Arabidopsis thaliana: one gene and its partner. The protein of the gene in region 1 purifies or fractionates together with the protein of each later gene. This does not show direct contact. Each region holds a gene or a part of one and is shown on either strand. Other genes may lie near its edges.

Region 1 (14,359 bases):
GGATCACATAAGGTTGACATCAACAGATATTTTACCTTTGAGACTGATCCAGGATTAACTTTGTTAAGAACATTACAAAGAACGATCCCACTTCGCAATCCAAGCCTAAACTCTTCTTCAGAAGGCTCTCCTGGAAAATCTTTACCATTGGAAACTCCGATCATATCTCTAAGCCACCCAGCAGCTTCATATCTTCTCAAAGCTACATAACAATTATCAATCATAAATCCGTGACCAGAACAATTCCTACATCGATAATTTCAATATCATCGTGAACCAGAATTCGAATTTTTCTCAAGCTATCTTTAGATTTCGTCAACAAAAATCACAAAGTTCGTCCCTAATTTCTTTGAAACCCAGAATTGAAGAACGGATCTAAGAAAATACAAAAGCAACAAGAGACTCACAAGATTCTTCAACTTTTCTGGAAACCAAACCGACGTCGCTTGATCGGCTACTATGTTGTTGAAGAACATCTTCAACAATCGATACAACGGAAAACGAAAGATCATTGTTGATCTCCGATGTCGTCGCCATCTGAGATTCTGGTGAAATTATGAGATGCAGAGAAAATTGCGGTGTTTATAAAGGGAGAAGAAGACGAAGAAGAAGAAGAAGAAAAGGTGTTTTGAAATGAAAATTTTCCCTCACTTTCTCGGCTCTCACTTTTTTTCTCTCTCTAAAAGATAAAATTTAGGGGAGAAGAAGAAAGATGGCGAAATACGCTCCGAACCTGACTCCAAACGTCCCAGGTTCGTTTCCTTTTCTTTGTTACCGTTCGTGGCAATATGTGTAATTTGTCCTTATAAACTTAAAAACAAAACAAAATTTAAAAGAAGGAAAATTTTAGTATAGTTTTAATCTCTTAATTACTATTTTTTTTTGTATAGTTTTATGGATCAGAGAAGAGAAAATTTTGATTAGGTTGGATAAAAATATATGTAAGGGTGCAAATGATTATACAATAAGAGGAGTAAATGTTAGGGAAATAAAATATTGAGAAGTATTTTATACCATTTATGCTGAAAATCTGGACAAATATGGATACTTATTCTATTAACAACACAGCTGAGGATATTGTAAGGAAAAAATATTCCATAAACTATTTTATATTAATGAGTGGAATAAAATAATTTATCTTTTTCTTTTATTCTATAAAAGTTACAACTATTTTCCATTTATGTAATGGATCCTAAGAATATTTGTGTAGAGTAGTGTGTGATTTCAATAAAATATTTTCAATAAATTTTGATCATTAGGTACTGACTAATCGGATTATGAAACATGGACATTAAAACTATATAAATATTTTTGAATACATACTTTTATCATTTAGGAGAATTTCAAACTAACTTATGTGAAGTATATAAATTCTAATAAATTTATATACTTCGCATACGGGATTTATATATATTTTTTCATCAAATCAATCCACTGTTTCCAAACTATAAGTTTGTTTCGTAGTCACATTCGCATAATACCTGTTTTCCAATGTATGAATCTACTAGTCGATTTTTTCCCAATAACTTTTACTTCGTAACATATTGACATTAAATAATGATTCAATACAATTATTAGTGCATATGAAGAAGTTAAATTTATGTTGTTACATTTATATTATCCTTAATTAATGTTAATACTTGAAAAAAACATGATTACAAAATCCAATCTAAAACATTTATAATTCTATAGCTGAGAATTAACTCTCTGCATATCACAAACATTAGTATCCCCTATCCATCTATAAAATATAAGTACATGCATGATTTGTAGATTCCACAAATTTATCTCATTTTATATCATAAAATCTTTTTAATGATTTCATCCTATTTATTACTATACATAACTTATTATTGGGTGAAACTTTGATATAACAAAATTTTTGCAGTCATTTATAACTTTGGGCATGCATATTTCAGTAGTTTTTGAAAACTAGTATAAAAATATATTCAAACCCAAGCTTCGGATCCTAACCATAGGAAAGAAAAAATAGGCGCGTATTTTCGATCGACGTGGCTAATTATAAAATCAATGGTTTAGATTAAGGATTACATTAAAATAAATACTCGGGCCGAAATCAAATGGCCCACTAAAAAAGGCAGCCCAGAAACATGCTGGCTAAAGTGAGGATTAGGCACATAAAGTTTTCAGTTCATAAAAAGCACACATCAATTTCTGAACCTCCACTTTTTTCTTCTCTTCTTTCAACTTTTACACTAAAATTAGTTTTGCACTATTTAACTACATGTCATCTCCCCCATAAATAGACAAAAATATTGAATTATTTTCCATGATCTATAAATATGCTGTTATAAGATTTTAGCTAGTGGGGATAATAATATCTACATTGCATGTATTATTATCATATCTTTTAGAAGAAAAAAAATCAAGAATGTCTCTTTATTGACATTGAAAATACAGAAATCTAAGTACCAACTTTTAAAAATGAACATGACCCTTTTTGCCAAACACAGTGAACACACCAACCTGTAAAAGTATAGCTTTGCTTAGATAGATAGTTTCTTTTGATATATTTATGATTATGTGTGTGTGTATGTATACGTTTTAGTGGTCCAATTCAATGGATCTTAATAATAAATGGATTATTGCATCCGAAATGGGACCGTTTATTACTAATTTTGTAACAATTAAGACCCTTAAGTGCATAGTTTTAAGTTGAGGCAGTTATTAGCTCTTTTGGGGGAGAATTTAATCAAGTTAATTAAATTGCTAAGTGGAAGAAATCATTTCATTTGCTTCCTAATTAGTAGGAGACACAGACCAAACATCACTTTCACTAATGACATGTTTATCTCTGTTTAGATATCTAAGGGTGTTACTTAGTTACGATATACATAAATAGATAATAACAATGCTTAGCATAATTATTAAAGATTGGACACAAGACGACAAAAGAGGTTAAGATGATAATGATTTGATGTACTTGGAAAACACTTTTGATTTGTTTAGGGCTTTGGAAAGGGTCCTCAAGTGTCTACTTTATCTTTGGGAATGGAACATTAAGAATAGTAAACAAGGTCTACTGTCTCTCCCGACGTAAACACTTTGGCCTTGAATAGATTGTTGTGGTAACATAACAGCGAATGTTGTGATAGCAACTAAGTGTCTATCTAATTGACTATATAATTATTTATAGTTTTAGATCAATACTAGTAAGATTATAGTTCCTTGGATTGTAAATTTTGGTATTTCCAACACTTTAAAACGATTGCTGGATCTTTAAAAATCAATTGGATGACACAATGCTTGAAAGAAAATGGTCTATTAAGTTCTCAAGTTCGAGTGGAGCTTCCAAACAAAGTGCGCCTCAAGGTATCAAGTTCGAGTTTTGTTAGCGGAGAAAAGACTAATTAACATGTTATGGTCTCCAACCCAAAACTCGAAACATCTTGGTTACAAAAACAAAATGCACATACTAAAAAATAATATAGTTCTCACTATTAATATCCGGCTCAAAGAAGTGTTTGAGGCAATAGGCAAAATGTACACACTACTCTTTCATATTCTCTGAACAAATTCTTATATCAATCAATCAACAAATCTATACAACTCTCTTAATTCTCATATTTATGGATATGGGCTAGAAATATAAGGTTGCCTCTTCTTCTTCTTTTTTTGGCATAACGTTTTGGGGGATAATTTAGTATTAAGACTTCAATGCAAATACATTGCTTAAAGTTCTACTAGATGTTTTGTCTTCGTAGAGGTCAGGAGATCAACAAAGACAGAAAGAACAATAGTAGTCAATACGAAAATATATTGTGTTGTCACTCTTCCGATTCTGAATTTATTCTGTGGTCATCAATATTGAAGTAACAACAACTAAACAACTAACGCAGACATTGACTGGGCCTAGAACATCCGGCCCATGTGTACAACAAAAAAAACTCATGTAGTACGTTGTTGGAAACCAGGAGCTTAAAAAACGACGATGTGTTGACAAAAATAGTCCCACATCGCTTAGATCCAAAATAATGACAAGGGGACGCAGAGTATATATAGAGAAGCAGACGTTTCGAGCAAATTACTTACCTGGACGGGGTCTACTCGCGATCAACAAGACGAGTGGCCTAGGCTAGTGACCGCATTGCACATACCGTTGGGGTGCTATGCCTAAGGTCTTCCCTTGAGGAGGATCCTACGTCATTATTTGTGGCAGAAGGGGTTTGCGTTCGCGCAGCCCCTACCATTCAATTAGTCTCAATCTGTTATGCCTTAGGTTAGAAACCTGTTTTCAATATGGACAAAACAGAAATATCAGGAACTCAAGTGACGACGTGTACATTATATTGTTTGGTACACCAAAAAGTCCCACATCGGAAGCATATATTGGCTTCATAGGTTTTGCTTGGCTATAAATTAAGAGGCTCTCACTCTGTAGAAAGTCATCTTTGCGCTTGGGGCAATGACGCAGCTAATGAGGTCTTAACCGAGGCGCGTCTATTGCTGGTTGAAAACTATTTCCAAACCCCCTCCTAGGCCTAAGCTTGTCTTGGGCCTTCGAGAATTTCTGGAAGAGCTCCCTTCCGGGTAAAGCTCTACAATTCTTAGTTCAATTTTTATCCTTTAGGTTATGTCCTTGTCTAGTTGGTTGGTTTACACATTTTTAATTTGTCAAAACCGAAAATTAAAACTCTGCGATCTTTCTAACCCCAAATAGTTTCATCAAACTTTTGATACAAAACACCATAGTAAGACCAGAAAACTCAGTGCAAATATATGATCAAATACATACCTTTTTTTGGTTTCTTTTTGTAAGACCTACGGTGTACAGACAATTCGAGTGTTCATTAAAGCAAATATGTAGTTCATAAGTTAAAAATAATACTCATTATCATGTCTCTCTTTTACATTATTCTGCTTATTCCCAAACCCTTTCCCAAATCAATTGTTGCGTTTAACACAACAAAGCCGTTACATTTTCCAATCGCTGAATCATCTAACCGTAGACAAGTTACCGGAATATGTTTCTCCTTTATAAGCCGTCTTCAAGAATCATAGAGCTCAATATCCCTTGAACGAACTCGCTCTGTTTCAACTTTTCTCTGTGATCCTCTGCTGAAAGAGACTGCTTCTCAACATTCCTGTATAAGACAGATCAAGACAAGAACCATCATAACAAACTCTGCAATTTGCATTTCTACAACAACAACAAAAAAAACACTCAGATCACAAGAGCTTTTAGGTTATTGGTAAAACAAGGGATCAACTAAATTCCATTAAGGCTCATAAAAACTAAGGATGAGTAATATGCGATGACTTAACAAGAATGATCAAGAAATCAATGAGGATATCATCCAGAAGTGTAATCCAAATGAGAATGTGGAAGCATACCTTTCAGGCAAACTCTGATTCAATGTTTTCTTGGCAGAACTTGTGTCTGCACATAGACTTGACTCAGAAATGAAAAAGTCATCAGCCATTGGTGAAATGAATGAAGACAGTAAAGGATCAGCAGCTATACTGGCAGAAGAAGAGGATACAGCACGTGATGTTCCTTCAAATAGGCTCTGAAAATTTCCATCAGGAAACTCTCTCTTCAAGATCGATAGCATGGATTGAGCCCCGCCTCTTCTTGATTTCCTTTTCCGCGTCACGTAATATTTTGTTAAGGAATGTAACTGTTAGAGATAAAATCTTTATTATGATAGTAGAAAAGATAGAACAATAAAGCAACAAGAGTATAAACTCAATAGAATCCTCCAAAGCTCTCAATTGCTTGGTTAGGTTTCACAAACAAAACCTAACCCTTACTTCTAACAGAACATAAATAAAAGACTCTAGGAAAAGTAAATCCTAAACTATTTCCTAAATCATAAATCAGGAAGTATTCATATCATTAACACAACTCATTGGAAGAATCAGATAAGTACATGATCGTTAAAAATATAACTGGTAGAGAGAGCAAAAAGGATATCTTGAACATATTTGCATGTTGTAGGGTTATATGAGCAATCATATCAGAGCTCACTTTCACCGCACAAATGGGACATACCTACAAGATTAACAATGTCAAAACGCAGAATTGAAAACAAATCTTGCTATTGTAGCAATAAACAAGTGTCCTAGAGTTGATTTCTTCTCTGAGGAACACTGAGTGGCAATTCCAAATACTATTTCGACGCATTTCATTAGGTTACTTTCACTTTCTTTATATCCAAGACCAGTAACTACTAAACATAGAACAGTGCTCTTACCAAGAATGATATGATGAAACAATAAATAGATTTTGATTCAAAACGAGAGAAAGGTAACATTGAGGAAATATCTACCCCATTTTTTGCATCCATAGGATGATCTTCATCAATGTGACAGCATAGAGAGACGATATCAAAATAGTCTGAACAGAACGGGCAAGCATACTCCTCCCTGAAGTCATCTTCTCCTTCTATCTCCTCAAACCCCAAGAAATTGTCTGCGTTTTTCAAAAATGAAGAAACTAGTCAAACACGGCCAAGAGAACATTCGAAAATGTGACAACTACAAAACAAAAGCCTAGAAAATAAAATGACAACTACAAAACAAAAGCCTAGAAAATAAAATGGGAAATACTAAAAACGCGTTCCATTCTCGAAGTTCCAATACAAATGGGTTTCAGAAGAAACATCAAAGATATCTAAATAAACGAATGGAAACTAGTAGATCATAAAACCTTCCCTGGCAAAGACGTCTAAGTTTGAGATGAAACTAAAGCTTTTAAAAACGTTTTTACCAACAAGAAGTTTTGTATTTACTTGTAAGTCAAACAAGAATCATCAAGATTCCAGCTTTTGACATTAAGTTCATACCAAAACCTAGAAACAAAACACACACGCTTAATCAATCCCTAAAGCCTCACATTAGTAAAATGCCTCAAAAGACAGAATTTATTTCCTCCATTTTCCTTAAATTCAATATCAGCAAAACAAACATTTGAACAATCACCATTTCAAATATTCAGAACAAGACACAATCAATGTCTTGTCCCATTTTGTTCGGAAAACCAGAACAGTAACAAAAATGTCAATCTCTTACAGTCAATCTCGATCCTTGATCAATTCAAAAGAAAACAAATTTGAGGTCTAAATATCATTGATATTTTTGCAATAGAATCAAGATTAAATTTAAGACAAAACCAATCAAATCTCAAATTAAGAAAGAACAAATCCAAGTTATAATTTTTATCAAACTCACCAGATCGAGACAAGAAATCGAGCTGATATCTTCTTGAAGCCGATGCGAGACGATCACTCCAAGAATCAGAATCCATTTTTTCTACGAAGATTATTACAAATCGAAACCAAAGAATCCACTTTTTCAACAACAACAACAAAAAATCAAATAAATTCCAAGAATCCGAATTGATCTTGAGTCCGGATAAAACAAAAACAGAGATATTCCGATTCAAGAATCAAAAGATTCCGACGAAATGCAAAGACGAAGACGACGACGACGATTTTGCGTCTTTTTTTTCTGGAATTCGTCTTTTTATCTTCTTTTTTTATTATGGTTTTTAATTCTTTGGATATAGAGAGAGAGAGAGAGTGAAAGACATAGAAGAGATGAGTTCTATTACATGTATTAAATTGTTTTTTAACAGCCCGCACGAATGCATGCCGTTTAAACCTTTTACCCGCCGTGTTTTTCCCTTTTGGAATATCAAAACGTCATGCTGTTAGTACGACGCTTACGTGTCGAAATATTATTGGTTTGTATTTGGTAAGCTGGTGAAACAGGACAAAGTTAGCCGCGCAACTGTTTTTTAACTTTTTTTTTTACTGTTTCCAAAGTTTTAAGTTTTGGGGAAATAGTGAAAAGTGAAAACCTCAATTTGCAAATCTGAGAGTTTACTTTCCTCATCGGAAAAAGTTTTGATCTCGCCGCTCTCCGAGCACTTCCTTGTCGGAGTCCCAATTTTTGTGTTCGGTTTTATTCTCGGTCGATGATGAAGCCGCGATTGTGTTCAGATCGGAGCTGATTTCGAATTTGGATGTGAAATTGAGATTCTAGGGATTTCAAATTTTGACGATCATGGCGACGAGGAATCGTACGTTGCTGTTTAGGAAGTACAGAAACTCTCTGAGAAGCGTCAGAGCTCCATTGTCGTCATCTTCATTGACGGGAACACGATCCGGCGGCGTTGGTCCGGTGATCGAGATGGCGAGTACTTCGTTATTGAATCCGAATCGCTCTTACGCTCCTATTAGTACCGAAGATCCTGGAACTTCTAGGTACTCTTCTCTCTCTTTATCAGTGAAAATGGTGAACAATTTGATCAATTAGGGTTAACTGGAAATGATTAGCTTAGCAATGAGAATGATAATACATCATTGATAGTGTAGTTGAAGTAAATGTCTGTGAGCTACGTTAAGCTGAGAGTTAGTAGTTACTGAGATATTTTTGGTCATGTTTTAGTAAAGGTGCGATAACAGTGGGCTTACCACCAGCTTGGGTTGATGTCTCTGAGGAGATATCTGTGAATATACAGCGTGCAAGGACTAAAATGGCTGAGTTGGGAAAGGCTCATGCCAAGGCGTTAATGCCATCGTTTGGGGATGGTAAAGAAGATCAACATAATATTGAGTCTTTGACACAGGAGATAACTTTTCTATTGAAGAAGTCTGAGAAGCAACTTCAGAGGCTTTCTGCTTCAGGGCCTTCTGAAGATTCAAATGTTAGGAAAAATGTGCAGGTAGTTTTGACTTGATGGAAGCTGCTCTTAACACATTTCCTTTCTTTTTGCTGCATTTGCCATTGCTATCTAAGATTTATCATGTGTGTTTAATAACAGCGGTCTCTTGCCACTGACCTCCAACTTCTTTCTATGGAGCTTCGCAAAAAACAGTCAACATATTTGAAACGCTTGAGGCAGCAAAAAGAGGTATGAAACTATTATCTATTTTAGTGTAATTGGCATTTCTTATACCGGAAACTATGTGATGTTGCAGTGTCTCATTCTTTGAAGTTTTTGTTTGCTTTCTGCTCCTCCGCCTCAAATGAAACTTCTTTACATCGATTTCATAGATGATAGATTCTTTTAGTACTTGTTTTTTCAGAGTATATTATTCTGTCCTCTCAAGAAGCTTTGACTTGAAATGTATTATCATTTATCAGGATGGGATGGATTTAGAGATGAATCTGAGCAGAAACAGATATAGACCTGAAGAGGATGACTTTGGCGATATGGTTTGACTCCTATACCTGTTTCATTCTATCGATTTAAAGCAATCATTCGTCTTATGTCTTCTTTATTGATGGAATTTTTTCTCGATTCCTTTTTAGTTAAACGAGCATCAGATGTCAAAGATAAAAAAGAGTGAAGAAGTATCTGTAGAGAGGGAGAAAGAGATACAACAGGCAAGTGCTTGCACTACGTCTTTGTTCTTAGTTGTTTGTAGCTCACCAACGTTTTTTTTTTTCTTTTGCAATCAATCATAATCTTTTTTCTTCTTCGTTGTCTGTGTCATTGTCCAGGTTGTAGAATCAGTAAACGATCTTGCTCAAATTATGAAGGATCTTTCTGCACTTGTGATAGATCAGGTTAAACTTATTTAATCCCATATTCTCTTTGTCTAGCTTTTGAGTCTTCTTCCTTTCGAAAAACAAACTCAAAGCAACCCGTTTAATTGCAGGGTACAATAGTTGATCGGATAGACTATAATATCGAAAACGTCGCTACTACTGTTGAAGATGGTCTCAAACAACTACAGAAGGTAAAAATAGTGTTCTCTCTTCAACATTAATGTCCAACTATTTGTTTGTCCCAATTCTAAATGAAGTGGATCGCATAAAAAAACTTCACAGGCAGAGCGAACGCAGAGACATGGAGGTATGGTGAAGTGCGCATCCGTGCTTGTCATCCTCTGTTTCATCATGCTGCTACTCTTAATCCTCAAGGAAATATTCTTGTGATCGGATACTATAATCCCTGGTTAGATCAATAAGAAAAGTTCGATCCTTAACTATTTCATTCTTTAGCCCCGAACATCGCATGTTTTCCTTCAGGGCTTTTGGTTTCAACTTCTTTGCATTTAACAATACTAAGATCCTTTGCAGAGTAGTTAGTACGTAATATTATTGTGTAGAAGAAGACCATAGATAGTCAGAGGTCGATGTCTGAGGAGTTGAGAGATCTGTGCACCAACGCCAAAATACTCTCTTCACGCTAAAGTCAAGTGTTCTTTTAAAATGTATAAGATTCCAGTCATAGTTGTTGGAACTTGTTTTTGACAAAATGGTTTTGACCATTGTAACTTGTGGATTTTCCGGTGAAGACGTTCATTGGAGTGACCAGATTTCGGGCAAGATGGAATCGTAGCTGCGAGCACTACATGGTGGAGTATTCAAATGTGAAAACGAGTTTGTTTGAAATCTTTTACTTTCCGGTTATTGTATCTTCGCATAAATTACAAATTCTCAACATTCTAGTTCTTTTAAAAACATATATCATTTACAAATGTATAAATATTTTTCACTTGAAACAATGAAAACTTTATACACGTTTTTGTGATGAGTTAATATGAATTAAATTACATCTCAAGTTCTCAACTCTAGTTTGAAATTGGTCATGCCAAATAGCCTAATTGAACTTGTATTGTTATTGTGTCATTATCATGGTTCAAACCCATATTATAATCATACTGTTGACAAAAATTATAATTTTAATATTAAATTTGTGTTATTATTTTTGTAGATAATTAGCTGGAGGGTTTTTAAAAGAAAAATATAAAAAAAAAATTAAATAATGATTATATCAGCGCTTAAAAAAGATAGTATTATCCTGGATAGCACATTATTTTTTTTATCTGTTTCTAATGATTCTTTAAATTACCTTTAAATATAATAAATTACATATCTAAGAATTTTTTAAAATTTATGATAATATTTTATCTTTTTTAAATGTAGCATGTATATAATAAATTTAAAACTTATATTATATATAGTGCTTCAATAAAATCCTTGAACATGTATAACCAAAAAAAAACCTCAAACAACATGTGCATGGATGTTTACCAATTATCATTTAAAATATAGTTATCTTATTTACAATGGATGTTTACCAATTATTGGTTATATATTTATTTACAAAAATAAAATGAAAAAAAGTAGTTGATGGTTTTAGTCTTTTTTTCGCAATAGGGATAATTTTATTGTTTAAGTCAAATATTACATGGATTATGAAATACCCCAGAACAAAAAAGCTACAGAAACATATTAGGCCCAACTAAAGCCCAACAGAGAAACCGTCTATGGAAGAAGAAATATTATCTTTTGTCTCTATCCAAAGCCACGTGTCTTCTGCTGGAGAGAAACCAATACACGTACTGGATGAGAATCCAAAGTTTTCCCGACTTCATCCTTCGCCGTCAAACATCGACTCCGGTGAAGATTCAACGTCGATTAACAAATCAAACATGGAATCTTATGGGTTTTCACCGGTAAAAATAATCGAAGCCCTAATTAGAGAAACAACAGCTCAAGGTAATGTTAATATGCAACGGAAATCACTTTTTTTTCCAACTCAAATCTCTGATTTGTTTCCTGCAATTCTAAACTCAAAAAGAAAAACAGGTTAGATAATAAGTAACAAAAAGCGAAAACCGCTCTATCATTATCACCAACACATCTCAAATGAGATTTATTGAAAGCAAAGCTAATTTATGAAAAAACAAAAAGCAGCAAAAGAACGCTGACGGCATAGCCGACCATCATCACTGTGAAAGCTGAATGATACCGGACAAGAGCTGGCCAACACCGGAAAGAACTGGTAATTGCCAGACGATAATCCCTATCAGAGAAGACGGTAGCCGGAAAAAAATTCGGACGGCAAAGTGAGTTTGAGGTTTCTCTCTCTCTGAAAGAATTTAGAAAGAGAAGAGAGAGAAAAAACTTTGGTACTTAATTAATTATTTAAGTAATTAATTGATGATTTTAGTTTGTCTTGGAAACATACTTAAAACCAAAAAAATATGGAAATGGATTGTAATTTGTCTTGGAAACATACTTAAAACCACTCAAAAAACTAGATTTCCTGTTTTTTTTTGGAGAAATGTTTTTGAAAAACCACAATCATTTAAGGCCTTGTAGTTTTATTGCCAATGGAGTATGAGTTACTATCAAAAATTGAAAAACAAGTGAAATTCATATCCTTTTTAGTCTTAGCTGTATAATTTTCTGCATGGCCGGATCTAGTTAGTACCTAATATAAGTTAAACTATACAAAGTTATAGTTAAGATTACTTCATTAATTATATTAAAAGAGGATTAGTACTTTAGTAGATAACCCATAAACGAAAGCTAAGTAGTTGAATTTGCATGTGTACGTATATGGAGTATAAAGCAGTATGTACTATTTATTTATTTAGTGCATAGTCTTTTTACTTTCTTAAATCACACTTCCCTCTCAACTCCGTAACTCCCACAGATATAATAATTTATTTTATTTTCATATCTTAGAATTAAATTTGTTCTCTGAAGATAATTCTGATGTCAGAAAACTGCAATTCTCGCCATTTCTCATGGCTCATGAAATCTTGTTTACCAAATCCCTCCGACGCCAAATCACTAGTCCAGATCCACCAACCGTCGTCCACGGCGGCGAATTCTTCAGCTACAATCGCTTCTCTACCTGACGATTTACTCCTCGAATGTATCTCAAGAGTCCCTTCCTCTTCAATTCCTTCTCTCGCCGTCGTTTGTCGCCGTTGGTCTCGTCTCCTCCACTCTCCTTACTTTCTCCATCTCCGTCGTCGTTTAGGTTTGCTCCGACATTCTCTCTTCGCGATATCCACCGTCGATTCAGGACTTTTCGCCGCGGATTTGCAGTTTCAGTCCGAGATTGCGTCGTGGAAAGTGTCTCTTGCGGTTTCGAGTAGGTCTGTTGGCGTTGACGGTAGTTATGGAAGTTTATCTCATGCTCGCGCGGCGGCGATTGGACCTAGGGTTTATGTTGTTAGTAGAAATGCTGTTTTGAGATACGATTCGTGGATGGGAACGCTTAATTTGAGATCTCCGATGATTTTCCCTCGGAAGAAATTCGCAATCGCGGTTGTTTCTGGTAAGATCTACGTTGCTGGAGGTGGTGGTGGTTCGGAGGTTGCGGCGGCGGTGGAAGAGTATGATCCGGAGTTGAATCGGTGGGAAGTTGTGACTCAATCGGCGAGGAAGAGATACGGTTGCATCGGAGCAGCCGTTGACGGAGTTTTTTATGTGATCGGTGGATTGAAAATTGGGAATGAGACCTCACGCGCGGTGGCGGCGCGTGCTTATGCGAGCTCTATGGATCTTTTCGATGTGGAGTCGCGTCAGTGGTTAAGGAGTCGTTCGGTTCCTGGTGGTGGATGTGTAGTGGCGGCGTGTGCGGCGGTTGGATATGTGTATGTGCTAACCAGTCACGCGGTGGAGCTTTCGTTTTGGCGATTTGATGCGCGTCGTCGTGGTGGAAACAGCGGGTTTGGAGAATGGCAGAGGCTGAAAAGTCCGCCGTTACCGGCACAGGTGCGGTTAGATGGAACGGTGAGGTTTAGCTGCGTCGGAGTGGAAGATAAAGTGGCGGTGGTTCAGGTGGTGGGATGCATTGACGATTTGCTTCGGCGGAGTGGGAGGGGTGAGAGAGGGATTAGAGAAAGCCTTGTGTTGCTGTATGATACGACGGAGGGAGAGTGGAGGAGAGCGGCGGATTTACCTGAGATGATTACACGCGCCGCCTGTGCGTGTGTGGAGTGGTAAGAGTGGAGACCACGGCGCAGGATTATGGGTACGAGAAGTTGGAAGATGCCAACGTACGCAGGATATATTAAAGTGGGCAAAAACAATATCATTATGATTGGTGCACATGTTTACTGTATGAAAAGCAATAGCGTCTTCTTGAGCTCGTAACCTTATTGGCTATTTTTATTTCCCAATCAAATCTTATCAGTAATTATTATATAAGAAAATATTTACTACAACGGTTAGATTGATATTAGTGAAATGGAAATAGGATCTAATTTATATTTTTCTATACTAATAAACTATAAACAATTATTTATAAAAAATAGTGCAGACAACCAAGATTTTTTTGCTGACCTTAATTAAAATATTAGTAAAATATGTAGAATTTTTTTTTTACAACGGTTAGATTGATATTGGTAAATGAAAATCAGATCTAAATTAGATTTCCTCTCTGATATCAATCATAAAATGGATTTTATTACACGTGATCAGGAAAAAAAAAAGAAGATTTTTATTACAATTACTGAAAAATGCCAACGGTTAGATTAATTAATATCATCATCATATAATGAAGAAAAGATACTCTAAAGAAAAAGGAAATAAAACCCACAGCTCAATTTGTCTCTCTTGGTTTAGTAAAATCAAT
Region 2 (17,004 bases), on another chromosome or scaffold:
GATGATGTATTAAATGTGCATTTGGTGAAAGAAAAGTGAAAGTGGTAAGTCCTTACGCTTTGGTGGCAGCGTAGATGGCGTAGAGGGGATGAGAAGGGACAACAACGGCAGCGCCGGAGCTAATATTGACGATGGCTCCACGGCGGCGGTGAAGCATTGGTCCGATGAGTGATCGTGTGACCCAAGTGGTGGCTTCAAGATTAACCCTCAGGATTTTGGTCCATGTAAGTTGGTCAACCTCGTGGAAGAACATGGCGCGTGGATAAGTAATACCAACGTTGTTTATCAAAATCCCAACTTCAAGGCCTTTTATCCCTTCCTCGATTGCTCCGTATCCTCCTTCTGCACAGTTTTTCTTTCTTTCAAGTACATCTTTTCTATTCCATATATAGACTTATGTATGCTACATTTCTTGGGTTCTATGTATATTTATGCAGACGGAAAATAGCTTAAAATTACCAAATGACATAATAAATATGCATTAAACAACTACTAGGTCATTTAACAAAATATATTTCTAAATATTTAATTTTCTGTTTAATCTTGTAAATATCATGTATTTTTTTCCAGCAAAACTATAACAAAATCGATTGTTTTTGCCCTCTTACAAACACATAATAAGTGTAACTATGTACTATTTTTTTTCGCAAATCTCTGACAAACACACACCTAGATACAATAAGTGTAATTGTGTACTATTTGAAATGATTCATATTGAGTAATGGTATATTTACCCTGGTCGTTGAAACAAGAATATTTATTCAATATTGCAATCGTGTACTAGTATTAATACACACACACACACACACACACACATAATGTCGATAACTATGTATAGACTAGTTCTATAGGATTGACCTAAAGTAAGAAAGTGTATTTATTATTGTTACCAGAGGAGAAGTCAAATGGAATGATCTTGATCTTGATGTGGGGAAACTCTTGTTGGAAATCATCAGAGACAGATTCGAGCTTCGAAAGGTTTCTGCTGACTAGGATGAGGTTAAGGCCGTGTTTGGCCAGCTCGTGAGCAAAGGCGCGTCCGATCCCCTCGGTGGCTCCAGTGACCATAGCCCATGAGCCGTACCGCTTGAGCCGCTTGGGTGTGAGGAGGAATCTTGTGGTGAACCATTTTAGGAGAGGAATGAATAGTACTCTAAGGAGAAAGAGAAAGCCTATGAAGCATACGAAATGGAGATACCATGGCTGACTCTCGGAGATGCATGCTCCCTGCATGTTCTGCTTTCTCTTTCTTTCTTTTTTCCTATATTTGTTAGCTGATTATTTGTCATGACATTTTGGTTTGGAACTAACTCTTTAAGTAGGAAAACTAGAGTTGAGAGAGAGAGATTATTTTCCTTGCTCAATCTTAATTTTCTTTATACAAAATGTGTTTTACAATATATTATAGCTTACAAGAAAAGGTCAAATCAACATGTACTATATAGGATAAGTGATCGTCTTAAGGAAGATTATGATCTTTAGGGAGACTGGTAGGTTGGGTAACGCCGTCTTAAGGAAGATTATGATCTCATTCATTACACAATTGCCATCTAAGTAATACGGCTATATACCATTAAATTTGAATGTTTTTGTAATATTTTGTATTATTACGTACAGTTTTGTGTGTAGTTTAGTTTCTATATCAATAATCATTTATTTATCTCAACTTTGAACCTTAAATTTCTATTTTTGACCAAAATTTGTTTTGCTTATGTTTTGCCTACTATTTTCATATTGTTTCTTTAATTTTGCTAATTTGTTTTATATTTAATAATTCTAATACATTAATACTGTTGTAATGAAAATAATTTATCTTTAAATTACCCTTTTTTGGACAGTTCTTTGTTAAATTTAATGATTTGGTTCCATGGCAGATTTTCGGCATTAATAAGTAATAACGATGGTTTCTACAAACTGAGTTGAAATGACTAACAAGAGAGTATCAGACAAAAATTTTAGTTTGCAAGAAAAGACCAAGTCATCAAACTATTTTGGATAAGTCATCTTTCATTAAAAAGAAAATAAAATCTAATTAAAAGTTGTTATTGTGTTGCTCAAAACTCAAAATTCAAATACAACAGGAAGAATATGATTCTTTTGGGAATTTGGTAGGTTGGGGTTGGGACATTTTTTCACTATAAAAAGGACTATGCATTCAATTGGTGGACAGTCTTTTTGGTGTTAAAATTTAATAATCTAGTTCCATTTCTGAATTTCAACATTAATCACGTTACTATATTGTGTTTAGCTAATTTAGCTCATCAGTTAAATTCGATTCTAGTTTTGATACACAATAGATGCAAACAAAAAAAAATGTATTTTCCTCTAGTCGCCTCTATTGTTTAAAGACGAGCTTTTCTGGTTAGAGCAAGTTAATTTATCTCTTGCTTTTGGTTATAGTAGAGGCAAAGCTTGAATACGTCAATTCCAAAGCTCAATCTTTGGGAATAGATAACATAGTTAATAAGTGGTAGGTATGAAGTCAATAAGTCTCTCTCTCTCGCTACTCTCGAAGTCAAAGGCTATTAAAGAGTCAAAATGATTAGTTTCGTTAGATCATACTACTTACTACTATTCAAAAAATTGTTTACAAAATCATTCGAAACTTAAAAGTCGTTGCCGACACAAAACATGTTAAGTCATGGAACATATGTTTCACTTTTCTGAAAAACTTTGAGACACAAACAAAAACAAACTGTAATAACTTACTGCTCCATTTTCGGAGTCCTAATTAAACATTCTAGGACTAAGAAACTGAAGAACTATAATGAAAAAAAGCTCGCAGATAATCGAGACATTATTCAGGTTATATATACAAGACGACACCTATCATTCTCTGTTTACGGGTCGACAAAGAATGGAAGAATAGAGAAGAGAAGAGAGAGCAATTTATGTGTTTCTTTTGTGTGTAGTAGTTTCATGTGAGAGACCTAAGAGTCACCTGTCTTGATTACAAGATGGAGGCTAGGAGCCACAGATGCAATAAGAGACTGTATACCATAACGCCAAGCCTTGCTTGAGGACGGCTCATCAATACTCTTCCACCTGAGACCCTGCATTGCAGAAATCAAACCCGGGGATTGGTAAGATGGAAATATTTGGGAGCTATTACAGAACTGTTCGATATTAGTGAGTATATTTACCATATTCCATCAACCCGATCTGCTATTATCTTTCCTTGCGTTGGAATCAGACCAGACATGTTGAGAGACTTGAAAACATGTCCTGCCAAAGAATATTTGTGTTTAAGATATGAGTCAACCGAGCGGTATCATACTTAAGTAATAAGCGAGATATATATGTAGACGCCAGAGTCCTGACCTTTATCTTCATCTGTTTCGTTGTTGTTCATCAGATGCTCGGACTCTGAATCTATGTTGATTGAAAGATGATCCGTCGATCCCTTCCTCACTGTTCTCACTTGTGCTGCTGTAGGCACCGGTGATATTGATTTTATTCCCAAGGCTCCCTGAGAACAAAATGGGTTCAGTCCAAACTTGGAGATCAAAACATAGCAAGAGATTGAAGCTAAATGATTACTTATAAGATATCACCAATCACAATGGCAGCGGATGGCGTAAACAAAACAAGGGTCAAGGAATAAGCTGAAATAGCACGAAATAAGATATTACCTTGTCCTCAATCTCGGATATCTCTGAGGTAGAAGGTGCTCTCGGTGTTTCGAAGATGCTTCTTTCTTGAACAATATCAGGCTGAATTGCTTTGGTTTGAAGTTTCTCTTCAAACTCTTTGACTCTTAATGATAGTTTATCGACAAGTTTCTCGCTACCGGCCAACTTTAAACCAAGTTCTTGGGCCCTTGATTTTGAACTCTCTGATTCTAGGAGAAGGGAAGTTATCTTTTTTTCTAGTGCTTGTACGAGTGTCCATGACTCGGAGAAGTTTGGGTCTACAACAGGATTATTGCTTGCCAATATACCCAGCAGTTTTTCCAAGCCAGATATTAGCTTGGACAGTTCATTCTTTGCCTTCACTAACTCTAGCTCGGTCGTACTCTCTGCTTCAGTCGCCTTCTTTAGACCTTGAATTTCAAGATCCTTTTCTGCCAAAGTAGAATTGAGCTCTTTTTGTCCATATGATAAGATGTCTATCTGATGCTGCATCTCAGTAACACTATCAACAATCGCGAATAGCTTCTTCACATCATATGGACTCTGTGGATCTAATCCGTTGACTAGATCTACTGATGGCACTTCAATACCATTTATTTTGTCAAAAAGGGTTCGCATATCAGAAGCTGGAATTAGATTTTCCTTTGCCTCTGCAATTCGAAGCAACAGCACGTGACATTTTAGTATAGTGGTAATTATGTGATGAAGATTTAAAGAAATGAGAGACAACAAAAGATAAAAATTACCTTGCTCTTGCACCAATAGTTTATCATATAACGTAGACAGTTCCACCTCTTTTTCATGCCATTTCTCTTCCTTCACTCTGAGATTTCCAACTGAAGTTTCAGGTCTTGGCAAAGCTCTTCCAGAGATTCCACCTTGGCCTCAGAACTTGAAACCTTAGTTTGGTTTAGATCTCTTTCTAACACAGCCTTTTCTAGAGCGACAGATGCTTCTGTTAGCCTGTTCTCCATATCTCGGATTACAGTGGCAGCTGCATTATTTGTTGTCTCAAAGAGTTTAAGAGTAGCACATGCCTTCTCTGCGGCAGAAGATAATTCTTTTATCCTTTGGGCGCATTCACTTACATGAAGCTCCTGTGGGTCTTCAGTTGATTCCATCTCACCACCGTTTTCATTTTCTTGGAATTGAACCAACTCTAAGAGGTTATTTTTCACTTCCAACTGCAGTTCTCTGGCAGCCGCACCACATGCAGATATCAAAGATGACAAATCTTTTTGTAATGCAGATATAGTGTTCTCCTGTTCACGAACAATATTTTCCACACTCCTCACCTGTTCTTCCAAGGATGAATTATGACCCACGATATTTAACACATCAGCCCTAGCTGCTGTCATGTTTTGCATCAAAGTCGCTATGAGAGTATCAATGGAAGTTGAGAAACCCTCAAAGTTATTCTCGAGGGTTTTGTTTCTCAGCCTGACCCCCTCTGCCATCTTCCTAAGGGATGAAGAAATTTCGTCTTCATCAGCTGCACTCCCTTGACTATTCTCCGGCTCTGTGTTCACTGAATTATCAAGGTCACTCAACAACGATTTTGCCTCAGTCGAATCATCCTGGAAATATAACAGCGTTATCAAGAGAACAGCCTATTAACAAATTGACCAAGAGAGAATTCTTAAAGTCTAGCCCATCTATACTGACAAATGTTTCACAGAATAATAATTTCATAATATCTCCATTAATCAACTCCCACAAAAACAGATTCTAACTAATGTTGCATCCTTGGCAAACAACAAATAGGAGATCGCTACAGGTTAAGGCATCTTTGGAACCAACAAATATGCAAACAGGAATGATGAAGGGCAGCTGTAAATTTGAGTAGAAAAAAGTGAACTAACAGAAGAAAGATTGATCTGGAAAGGTAAGAGAATACTGTTACCTCAGCGTTGCCCATTTCCCCTGCCAATAATCCATTCTCACCAATATTTCGTGTGATATCTCTAGCAATGACATCCACGTCTCTAAGGCTCTTGAACTTCCTTTGAAGGAATTCATTCACCTTGGAAATTAGACCTCCATCCTTCAGTAGCATCTGGAGATTATCAAGATGAGTAATAATCTCCAAAGATTTACTCTGTGAGTTTCCGCTTGATCCAGCTAACTCTTCCATGCATACATTAAGTTTACTACTGAGAGTTGATATCTCGCCTTCAGCTTTCACCATTTCTCCTTGTAAAGCAGAAAGACTATTCTCTGCCTTCATTAGTGCCTCCTCATGGGATACTATTGTCAAGGAAGCTTCGGCCATCTTGTTACGCTCAAATTCTGCCTCAATTTTAAGCTTCTCTAACTCATTCTTTAAACTTGTAGTAAGAACTTTGTCATCTTCAATTTGTTTGGACAGCGAATCCATGTTGCTTTCTGTCTGAGCAAGTGTTTCTTCAAGTGAATTTATGGTGCTATGTGCTTCTGTTAATTTGTTCTTCTGAATTGAAGCTTCTTTTTGCAGCATCTCTTGCTCCATCTCTGCAGTAGCAGTTCTGCCTTGAGCCTCTTCCTTTTCACTAATAATATCAGATATATTTCTTTCAGCCTGCATGAGTGCAGCTTCAAGTGTGCTTTTGGTTGCAAGAACTTCATCCAGTTCGCTAGCTACAGAGGAGGCATCTGCAACTGCTTTTTGCAGCTCAAGCTCAGCATTTTCCTTGGCAGCTTGGACATTTCTATTCTCCTCAGTAAGCCGACTGATGTTATCCTCTGCAGTAGACAAGGCATCCTCAACCAACTTCAGGGCTGTTTGGGTTTCTGCTAATTTACTGGTTAACGCATCAACTTCTGACTTTACTTTTTCTATTTCTTCTTGTTCCTCTACTCTAGCCAGCTGCACTTCTTGGATGTACCCAGCAAGTCGGTCAATCTTTTCTGAAGGATCTTCAGATGCTAGATCAACAGGGAGAGCTATAATTTCAACTGATTTCATCACTTTCTGCAACAACGTGTCAATTAGAGATAAGGATTGCTGAAGTTGATCTCTTTCTTCTTTAGTAGCAACAAGCTCAGTCTCTAGCTCTTTCGTGCGCTCTAAGTCTCTCGATAACATATCTATCTGATTCTTGTAGCCATCAACCGTACCACCTAGCTGCTGCAACTCGAGCATCAGCTTTTCGATTTCAGATTTTTTCTCATCCAACTGAGTTTTAAACTTTTCCCTATCTTGGACTAGTCCCTTGCCTTTCTTGATAGCCATAGAAAGTTTGTCTCTGAGCAAAGCAGATTTCTCCTCTGATCGCTCTAGATCTTTCTCCAAAGCAATTTTTTCTTCTTTCACGAAAGCAAGTTCTTGAGATGCGATCTTTAGCTCATCTGAGAGATTGCTTACCTGAAAGCTAATCAGCTCTCCCTCTCCTAGCATTTCCTTACAAAGTGAAAACTCCAGATCTCTCACATAAAGGAGACTTTGAAAGGCTTCAAATATTTCTTCGTTGCCATAAGAACTATCACTAGAATCCCTGATTTGCTTTTCTATCTTGTCGAATGATCTATCAACAAGTAAATTGATATCTGAAGAAGTATGATCTTCGACTCCTTCTGTCATCAAGCCAGAGGTTTCCACAAGTCTCCTCACAATTTCCTCCCTCTCCAACGAACCTCGCTCTGCAGTTTCCTCCATTTTTTTCAAACTGAAACTTAAATCATCCAGTTCCTTTCTAATGTTACTTTTCTCCTCCATTTCTGCTGAAAGAGACATGCTTACACTTTCAATCCGGTTTTGCAAGGCATTAACTTCATCTTTTCCCTGGAGAAAAGATTCTCTAAGCCAAGCTAGGCGACTTTCTAAGCTGGATTGGGACATCTCCTCTGGTAAGTCAATGGAAACGATCAAATCTTTTAGTCTGTTGTATTCCTGGGAAACATTTGTGAGCTCTTTCCTCTCTTCTGCAAGTGACCTTACTTTTTCAACGATATCAAAAGAGTGACCTTCTTCAGGTGTATATATGTTTGACAGGATAGTTTCAATATTTTCAATGATAGAGTTCCTCACCGATAACATTTCCTGATATGATGCAACCATAGCATCGGATTTTGCTAACTCGCCTTTGTCGAGTTCAGATTGATCCAATGCTGTTGACATCTCTTGTAGTTTCGTCAAACACTCTTCAAGTTCTTTTGTTTTTTCAGCCAGAGACTGTTCCAACTCCTTCTTTGTTAGCTCATATGCTTCCAGGGATACGGACCTATCATTCAATTCAGCATAGCATTTCTCAAGTTCATCCGTCTTTTCGGTTAACGATTGTTCCAGCTGCCCCTTCATTACTTCAGAACTTTCAAGGGCAATCTCCTTCTCTTGTAATTCAGTCAACCTATTCGCAAGCTCTGTTGTTTTTTCAGACAATTGATGCTTCAGAGCATCCCGGTTCTGAACTAACGCCTTCCCCTTTGTTACGGCCATGCTGAGCTTTTCTTTTGTGTTAGTACACTTAGTCTTTTCTAGCTCAAGCTCTGCCTTCAATTTTTCAAATTCTGTTCTCATTGACTCACACATTTCTTTCTCTCTGTTCACTTGTTCAACAAAGTTCCTATTCTCATCTTCTAGATGACTAAGTCTTTCAAAAAAGGCTGCTTCCTTCTGTTTGAGCTCAAATAGCTCAGAACAAGCAGCACCAAGAGCTGAACCAAAATCCTCTTGGAAACTAAGATCCAACACATCACTAGCCAAACACTTCCTTAACTGATCAGCACCATAGTAAAACTCAGTATACTTTGCACCTAAAAACGAAACTCGGTTCTCCAGATGAGCAAGCTTTTCAGAGATAGAAGAACCATACTGCAACTCCCCTTCCCCAAATACATTACTAAGAGAAACCATAATCCTATCCGTTGCAGCCTCAAGGTGCTCCAAGTTCTGTGCCTGATCACCCATTTCGGAAACCGGCTGCGACGAAGAAAGCTCAGAGATTTTTGTGGTGAGATCAGCAATCTCATCGTCCCTCCCACTAATAACCCCGTGAAGCTCCTTGAGTGCAACCTCATGCTGAATCCGCTCTTCCTTGGCAGTTTTTAAGAACTTCGAGAAGCGACTGACAATATCCACAGTAGTGTTCCCATCTTCACCTGTCAAATCATTCTCACCAGTCAACAGCTTAAACTGCTCCTGAAGCCCTGCAAGTTCCTTCTCCCAATCCCCCTTCTCAATCTATATGCAGAAAACAAAAAAAGAAAAGATCTTTCAATAAATTTTCGAGGAAACTCAACAAAAAATTTAGACTTTAAAAAGAATCATAAAAAAAATAACAGACATTGAAATGAGTTCCAAGGTCATCATTATCATCGTCATCTGTGGTAAGAGCTTCCTTGCTAGGTGTATCAAAATTCAACTCTTCAGGAGCATCAACAAACATATCTTCCTTACTATCAACGAAAGCTGTTCCCTGCAAAATACCAATATATCCCCCCAATTTCAGCATACGAAACACAAACCACATAAACGATTCAGAGCCATGGTGAAATAGAAATCTCACCTGGTCAGGATCAAGCTCTTCTTCTTCTTGCCCATTAGACTCGTCATCATTCTCAATTCCATCAGCTATAGAATCCTGCGGAAGATCATCCTTCTCGTGCATTATCTAAATACGATCCCAACCCTTTTTTCCCCCAATAGATCTATCACGAATTCGGAAACCGAAGAAGGATTAAAGAGAGAGAGAGATTAGCCAATATCGGTAATCAAAGACGGGACCTCTAGAGAGAGTCGAGAAATGGAGCAAACAAAGGAAGTGTGTGAAACGGCTCAAGTCAGAGAGATCCGTGAGTAATAAATTAGCGAGGTAAGAAGAAGAAGAAGAAAGCGTTGCAGCACGACCGACGCGGTGCGTTTTGTTTTCTCCCAAAATCGTTTATTTTTTTTGGACATATGTTTTGGTTGTGTCGTGCCATTGAAGTGGGTGATGTGTTTCGTCCAATAAGAAACGTTTGCTTCTGTTCACGTGACTTTTATATGGTAATATGTGCAATTTAAGGATCACTTAATTTTAGTCAAACGTATATATTGCAAATGTAAGACAAAAATTAGAATATAATTACAGATTCTCTCATAAAATCTTCTTAACAAAATATCGCATTAAATACATATGTAATCCTATATTCACAAAATATATCAATTAAATTCAACATAATAACAAGTAAATGATGATGGGATCCCTATTTCCTATGACTTGCTTACTGCAACACATGTAACAGTTCGAATTACTAATGTGTCGCTATTGCATCATTTGCACATTCTGATTACATAACATCTTTCACAACTGTTGGATCCACAAGTCTGCATGCACATCTCTCACATTTTGGACCACTTTCACATTTTCTATGGAGATACCACCATAATTCTTTGCAATTGACTGATTTGTTGTCATTTTAACGTTTTCAGTCATTAAGTCACTGCAGGTACTGCAACAAAAATAGATAGTTTTGGAGTCAACACTATAGTATGATCACTTACACCCTCATAACAGCAGCTAATAGTTAACATCAACCATAAAATTCTAAGCATTGGAGAAGAGTCTCTTAGAACTTGGCATCCGAAAAAACATGACTTTAATGACTTAATAAAGCTCTAATTTACAACATAGAGACTAGTCTTCCAGCTCGAGCTCCATGTACCTTCCAGAAAACCTTGATGGCTTCATCAACCGTTCCAGCATCAATAGCTATAGCTCCAAAGATTGCCCTAAAGCCAGTACAAAGAATGGCCGAGTTCGATGCATCTGTCTTAGTAGAAACTCTGATTATCTTCCCCAAACCCAACCGGTCTCCGTCAAGAGCACATGAGGACTCCACATTTGAAACCTCTGATATCAAACGGCCCAGTGCTTTCGAGGAAATATCGATATCTTTAGCGAGAAACTGAAGAGAGACCGCGGTTTCAATGATATGGGTTCCAAAGATACTCAAGGCTTTGTTGTTCTCTTGAGAAAAAGAAGCATGAGTCATTGCACGGCGAAGAAGGTTGATGTTGTTAAACTTGTAGCTACACCAAACAAAAAAAAAGGAAAGGTCACAACTTTAAGAGTATAGAATTTAACCAAATCAGTGATTCAACTTAATCATCACATCAAGAGAGTATCTAATCTTATAGAAATGGCCTTAATTTCCCTAATTATGATCCTCCAATACACATTTAGGAACAAATTAGTAAAATCAACAGAGAAGAAGTGACTTTAAGTTACTGTACCCAATTTGAGTTTGCAGCTTTGCAAGATCCGTCGCGAACGGCGAGGAAAATGGTTCGATCCTGAGATTGATTTCACTTGTTGCACGTACCTACCAAAGACGCCACGAAGAAATAAGAAACGGATCGTGTTCGGATCACAAAATATAAAAAGTTTGGGTTTTTAGAGAAGAGATGAGATGGAGATACATGAGAAACGGAGGAGAAGGAGAAGAAGATCCCGACGACGAAGACAAGAAGAAGTAGAGTGAAACGAAGAGTCGCCATAGTTGAACCTTAGTGTTCTTCACTTGATTTCACCACTCTCTGTTCTGCGAGAGAGAGAGAGAAACTTGAGGATTTATAAATTGAAACAGTTAGCACAATTGCACAATCAATTGGTTTGGTTCGGTTCGATTCGGTTTGCATTGGTTTATCCGGATTGAACATCTCTAGGAATTGATTTTACTTATAACAGTTTTTAAATCTCATCTTCAAACATGCTTATGTTGGCAAGAAGACATGAAGATCATCTTTCTCATTTGATCTTTGATAATAAAAGGGGTACACATTAAGATTATGACAATCTTCATAAATCATAATCTAAAACGAAGGAACATTAATGGATCACCAGATTCTTATGTACACTTAATCAAAGGTCTGGGATCACTCTCTCCCTCTGTACACCCGTATTTATGTTTCGGGATAAAATCATATCAAGTACTCGTTGTAGACTAAGAAGGCCGCTTCTGGATAATCCTTAGGAAGGCTATTGATGTGGAGGTAGAACCGAAGAAGATCCTCTTTGGTGACCGTCTCTGGATCCACCACATCTTCATCGCAAGTTAGCACCCACAGATCCTCTGAGTTCACTCTCTTGATGCTGCCACGACAAAACGGGCATGACTCCGACTTTGTGTTCCAGTTACGGTAACATTTGATGCACATGGCATGACAACAGTTTGGCAACACCATTTTGGTGCAAGGCTCTAAGCAAATCCCGCATTCGTCTTCTCTTTCCAAGTCAATGCTATTCATGTATCTGCTACCTTCAATGTCATACTGCTTCTTGGTGATGGCTTTTGGATTCGGATACCACAAGCTTTCGTCCGGTAAGTCAGCAAAGTTGATATGAAGTCGCTCAAGTGATGGTAATATAACACCTGCATTTAGCCAGAGCCATAGTTATAAGATTAAGCCCACAGTAGAAGAAACACAATCACAATTAAGAGCTTAGTCTTACCGTAAAACTCCCTAATCGTAGCTTTCCTTCCGTACCTAGATCGATTCCACCGCCCATCAGCACGTACCTGTACAAGACAAAGAAGACACCTATAAAACAAACAAGCCAAGAGGAAAGGAGAGAAACTATCAGGGAATCTACCATTTCACACACACACACACACAACTCGATATCTATGTATGCGGTAACAACCTTGTATATGAGTATGTGGAAGAAATCAAAATATCTTGGAAGCAGACATGAGAAATCCATCCATTGTAGCAGGAATATGAAGAATGGAGCCAAATTGCTGCACACCAATTTCATCTGAAGTCGCACACCGCTCTTTCCCATTGGAATCTCAGCAGCCCTGAATCAAATTTGAGAGTAATCAGTCATTACACTAATCCTTCTAACATAACCCATCCCTTCAGACAACATATGCCTGAAGAACAAACCACACAGATACCAATTCTGAGACTAAGCAGTTACTATATCCTTCGAATCACATAAACCATTTCCACAGACAACATATGCATCAATACCACACCACAGATATACAAATTGTGAGACTATTCAGTTACCATCCTTCTAATCACATTTAACCCATTTCTTCAGACAACATATGCATCAAGACCACACCACGCATGCCACAAAATTTAGCAATTTTTTGACCATTTCTGCAAAGTTTCGATTTTTAATAATCTAAGTTCGTGATAACGACCGAAAATGTAAAATTGTGGGGCCCTAAACCCTAAATCATCGAAGCCAACTATAACAATCGATACTAAAGACCCTAAACCCAGTAAAAATCAAAGAACCCAGAAAGAATCAGAGGATGACTCACAGTCCATTGGCGTGCTCAATATCAGCCTCCAGAATCTTCAAAGAGTCTCTGTAAGAAGACTTGGTCAACTGATAATACATCCTCCTTAACTTAAATCCCTAATCTCGTCTCTCTTCTCTCGATGAAGAGATGATGATGATAACAAAAGGATCAAGACAAGAGAAGACGAACAGGAAGAGAAGAGAATCCAAAGTTTGTGTCTTGGAAACAGACAAATCCTTAGAACCCGATGAATCAAAAACAAACAACAGAGACGTCTGCTTTTCTCCACGTCTTATCTCTTCGGTTTCACAAAATTAAAGATTTTGGAAGAAGAAAAAAGAAGCGACTTTTCGCTATTGATGATATTTTTGCAGCCAGAGAAAGAGACTTCGTGAAAGCCAAGAAAAAAATTTATATATATTTTTTTTCAAAAATACAGAGAGAAGAATCTTATCTCTTTTTTTTTTTTTGTTCTTGCAAACTTTTTTAATTTTGGTGTTCTGTTTCAAAGATCATAATGATGAGAAATTGGATGATGATGATGAGTGTTGTTGTTATAATGTTTGTAGAGAGAAATAGCTTTTGTCCTTATCTATAAAACATTATATGCTTTCTGTTGGCAGGTCTCCGTTACCAAATTGGTTTCTTTAATCAACTTCTTTCATAAAGTATTTTTTTTGTTCAAGTCTTCAATATCTGTGACCTGTCAGAGCCAACATTATTTCCTTATTATATTATGCTAATTATGAACACAATTAGGGAATAGGGAAGAAGATTCTCTCTTCATTATCGATTCTATACTAAATTAGTAGTGCATATTTTATCCTTTTCATATTTCAGTATCATTTTAGACTAATGTACTTTTGTTTTGAAAATATCACTTTCATGATTGCAATGTTAATTTTACAAAAATCTAGTTTGTCCATAATCAAAATTAATAAAAATGTATAAAAAAATTAATAAAAAATAAATAAATAAAAAAATAAACTCAAAAGTATTGACATTTCATCTTGAAAATTTGAACAAATTAAATGCATAATCTATCAAATGTTGCAAATAAACGGTGTTAAATTTTAGACGGAAACTAAAACACAGTCGTTTCGTTGATTAATTAAACGATTGTATTTTTTTTTTTTTAATGTATAAAAAGAAAAAAACGTTTATTATTGACTACGATGATAATGTTAAATTCATGGTGTTATAAAGGTTGCTAAGATTGTTGATTCATGGTATTACACTGAGATTGTTGAGTTCGATTATATTTATAGATAAGTCCTTTTGTATTTAGAGTTTCTAACATCTATAGTATTAGTCTATTAGATAAGTCCTATTAACATGTCATGAGCTGCAGTAAAATACCTCATCCAAAGTCCACGGGCTATTTTCACGAGTCACAATAGTCAACGTAATAAGAATTGATTAAGAAGATTAATTAAATAGTAATTGTACTTTAAACATTTCAGAAGTTTGTACGTTTTCTATTGAGTATAGTGGATAAACCCTAATTAATTAATATCCTGGAATAATCAAATCCAGATGTAATGTTTTGAACGTGACGTTGATCGTGTTGAGAGCTGAGATACATAACTCAACAAAACCCTACGTTTTCGTTAAACTATTACTTTTGTTTTGAATCATTGCTGTTCGCGTGGACAACAAACTAAACTCGCTCTCCAGCAACAATATTTCTCAGCCTTCAAATTCCATAACGAATATTATAATTTTATTGGCAACTAGCTATATAGAAAATGATGAATTCAACACCATGGTGTGTCCTCCAACATAATTTATGACGTATGAAGCTAGCATGAAGAAATAACGTTTACTCTATTGCTACAATGATTTCTAACTATATATAGATTTAGAAATTGTAGATCGAGCCTTCTTTGTTTAATATTTAATCCAAAAGCATGTTTTTTCCCCCCGGAGGATTTTTTCTTTTGTGAAAAATGTTGAATAGTATAAATAAAAATAAAAATATTAATTGTCTTATGAATATGTTAATGCCACTAATTAAAAATTGGTTTCTAGGGAATATATACTATAGTATTATTCTGGTTAGTTGCTATTGGTCGTAATGATCATATTAATTCATAGTAGATGAACAGCCCATATTTATTAAGTTGAAGAATGGGAATTTGGAATAATTCGTACCCTAATTTTCAATTCAAAAATATCATTTATTGATTTAAAGTTCTACCTAATGGTTCCATTGACTATATCGACCACAAACATATATATACAAAATAAAATTTGTTATGAATGGCAATACAAAAGTATAATTTCGTATAATTAAAACGAGCCTATCGGAATATATAATTTAGCTAAAATGAATAGTCAAACGTTTTTGGTAAGGACTAGTCTAAAGGACTAAAGGAGATGTTGAGGACCATCGACCACCAACCCCAACTAGTTAATGATGATGATGATATATACTTTGAAAATGTTATCACTATATAATTGTTGACGAACCGAATCCCTGTTTTTAATTTTTGTTTGTTTGTACTTATTCCTAAACTCATTTTGTATAGAAGAGTTTCTTGCGGAAAAAGGCATCCTGTGAAGCTTGAGTTTCTTGAGGGAAAAGGTATCCTGTGAAGCTGCTTAACTCACTTGCGGCAAATTAACTTGTTCAAGTCTAAATAGAAGATATAGTTTTCCACCTAACGTTAGTATAAAACTGGGTTAAACCAAAACCCCATATCAAGTTTCATAATGTTGACAAAATAATCCAGCTGAAGTCTCCAAAACCAAATCTTTGTATAAAATTTGTAACTTTCTTGTTCACTTGGGTCTAATTCTGATCCGTGTCTAATCACCATGACACGTTATTAAAGAGGACTATACCTCCTTATAACTTTAGCTTATATAATCTTACTGACGAAGCATGAGTCTGCTCAGTTCTCATACATCATTATTATAAGTTATTTCAAAACAAGAATGGGGCTTGAGATCACGGTAACTTCTCAGGAACTCGTCAAGCCCTCTCCTCGAAACCTTAATCATCCTCCATGCCATCATCATCTCTCTTTCCTTGATCAGCTTGCTCCTCCCATTTTCATGCCTTTCCTTTTCTTTTACCATAACAAGACTAATCTATCAGACAAAGAACGAAGTGATCACATCAAGAGTTCTTTGTCTGAAATATTGAATCTCTATTACCCCTTGGCAGGACGCATCAAGAACTCGGGTGATGTTGTTGTGTGCAACGATGTGGGTGTGTCTTTCGTCGAAGCCAAAGCCGATTGCAACATGTCACAGATTCTAGAAAACCCAAATCCTAACGAACTTAACAAGCTTCATCCATTCGAATTCCATGAAGTGAGTGACGTGCCTCTCACGGTACAGCTCACTTTCTTTGAATGTGGCGGCTTAGCACTCGGAATAGGCCTTTCTCATAAACTCTGTGATGCACTGTCTGGTCTCATCTTCGTCAACAGTTGGGCAGCTTTTGCTCGTGGCCAGACTGATGAAATCATTACTCCTTCTTTTGATCTCGCCAAGATGTTTCCTCCGTGCGACATAGAAAACTTAAACATGGCTACAGGTATCACGAAGGAGAACATAGTAACCAGACGCTTCGTGTTCTTGAGATCTTCTGTTGAGTCTTTAAGAGAAAGATTCAGCGGAAACAAGAAGATCCGCGCGACACGTGTTGAGGTCTTATCGGTATTCATATGGAGCCGTTTCATGGCTTCAACAAACCATGATGATAAAACCGGAAAGATCTATACACTGATTCATCCAGTGAACTTGCGTAGACAAGCAGATCCAGATATACCAGACAACATGTTCGGGAACATCATGAGGTTCTCTGTTACTGTCCCTATGATGATAATCAATGAAAATGATGAAGAAAAGGCTTCTCTTGTGGATCAGATGAGAGAGGAGATTAGAAAGATAGACGCAGTTTACGTGAAGAAACTTCAAGAAGATAACAGAGGACACCTAGAGTTTCTAAACAAACAAGCTTCAGGTTTTGTCAATGGAGAGATTGTATCGTTTAGCTTCACGAGCCTCTGCAAATTTCCGGTGTATGAAGCAGATTTCGGATGGGGGAAACCTTTGTGGGTTGCCTCTGCAAGAATGAGCTACAAAAATCTTGTAGCTTTCATTGATACTAAGGAAGGTGATGGAATTGAAGCTTGGATCA

Evidence for each region.
Region 2: the proteins of SYP41 (region 1) and TNO1 purify together in Arabidopsis thaliana (affinity purification with western blotting, with the first as the bait; one study listed by BioGRID). This does not show direct contact.

The regions. Positions count from the first base shown.
Region 1 is NC_003076.8:9,484,277-9,498,635, reverse strand, and holds SYP41 (syntaxin of plants 41), read left to right. Parts: upstream 1-7,543; 5' UTR 7,544-8,031; coding exon 8,032-8,231; intron 8,232-8,415; coding exon 8,416-8,692; intron 8,693-8,791; coding exon 8,792-8,881; intron 8,882-9,114; coding exon 9,115-9,186; intron 9,187-9,282; coding exon 9,283-9,357; intron 9,358-9,474; coding exon 9,475-9,540; intron 9,541-9,632; coding exon 9,633-9,713; intron 9,714-9,804; coding exon 9,805-9,912; 3' UTR 9,913-10,503; downstream 10,504-14,359. Other genes in the region: ATK4 (kinesin 4), read right to left, coding at 36-202, 408-537; AT5G26990 (Drought-responsive family protein), read right to left, coding at 4,997-5,105, 5,356-5,618, 5,939-6,016, 6,294-6,436, 7,195-7,270; AT5G26970 (uncharacterized protein), read left to right, coding at 11,250-11,576; AT5G26960 (Galactose oxidase/kelch repeat superfamily protein), read left to right, coding at 12,487-13,728. UniProt on the Arabidopsis thaliana protein: Contributes to the regulation of secretory and vacuolar transport pathways in the post-Golgi network, and to the maintenance of the Golgi apparatus and trans-Golgi network (TGN) morphologies. Together with VTI12, required for membrane fusion.
Region 2 is NC_003070.9:8,658,285-8,675,288, reverse strand, and holds TNO1 (TGN-related, localized SYP41 interacting protein), read right to left. Parts: upstream 9,218-17,004; coding exon 9,116-9,217; intron 9,026-9,115; coding exon 8,894-9,025; intron 8,791-8,893; coding exon 5,530-8,790; intron 5,243-5,529; coding exon 4,470-5,242; intron 4,456-4,469; coding exon 3,633-4,455; intron 3,470-3,632; coding exon 3,322-3,469; intron 3,226-3,321; coding exon 3,144-3,225; intron 3,054-3,143; coding exon 2,951-3,053; 3' UTR 2,638-2,950; downstream 1-2,637. Other genes in the region: KCR2 (beta-ketoacyl reductase 2), read right to left, coding at 57-342, 891-1,233; NFD2 (Ribonuclease III family protein), read right to left, coding at 10,212-10,620, 10,825-10,913, 11,011-11,088; AT1G24440 (RING/U-box superfamily protein), read right to left, coding at 11,512-11,963, 12,044-12,110, 12,236-12,392, 12,870-12,949; AT1G24430 (HXXXD-type acyl-transferase family protein), read left to right, coding at 15,792-17,004. UniProt on the Arabidopsis thaliana protein: Tethering factor involved in vesicle fusion at the trans-Golgi network (TGN) thus being required for efficient protein trafficking to the vacuole. Implicated in resistance to salt and osmotic stresses.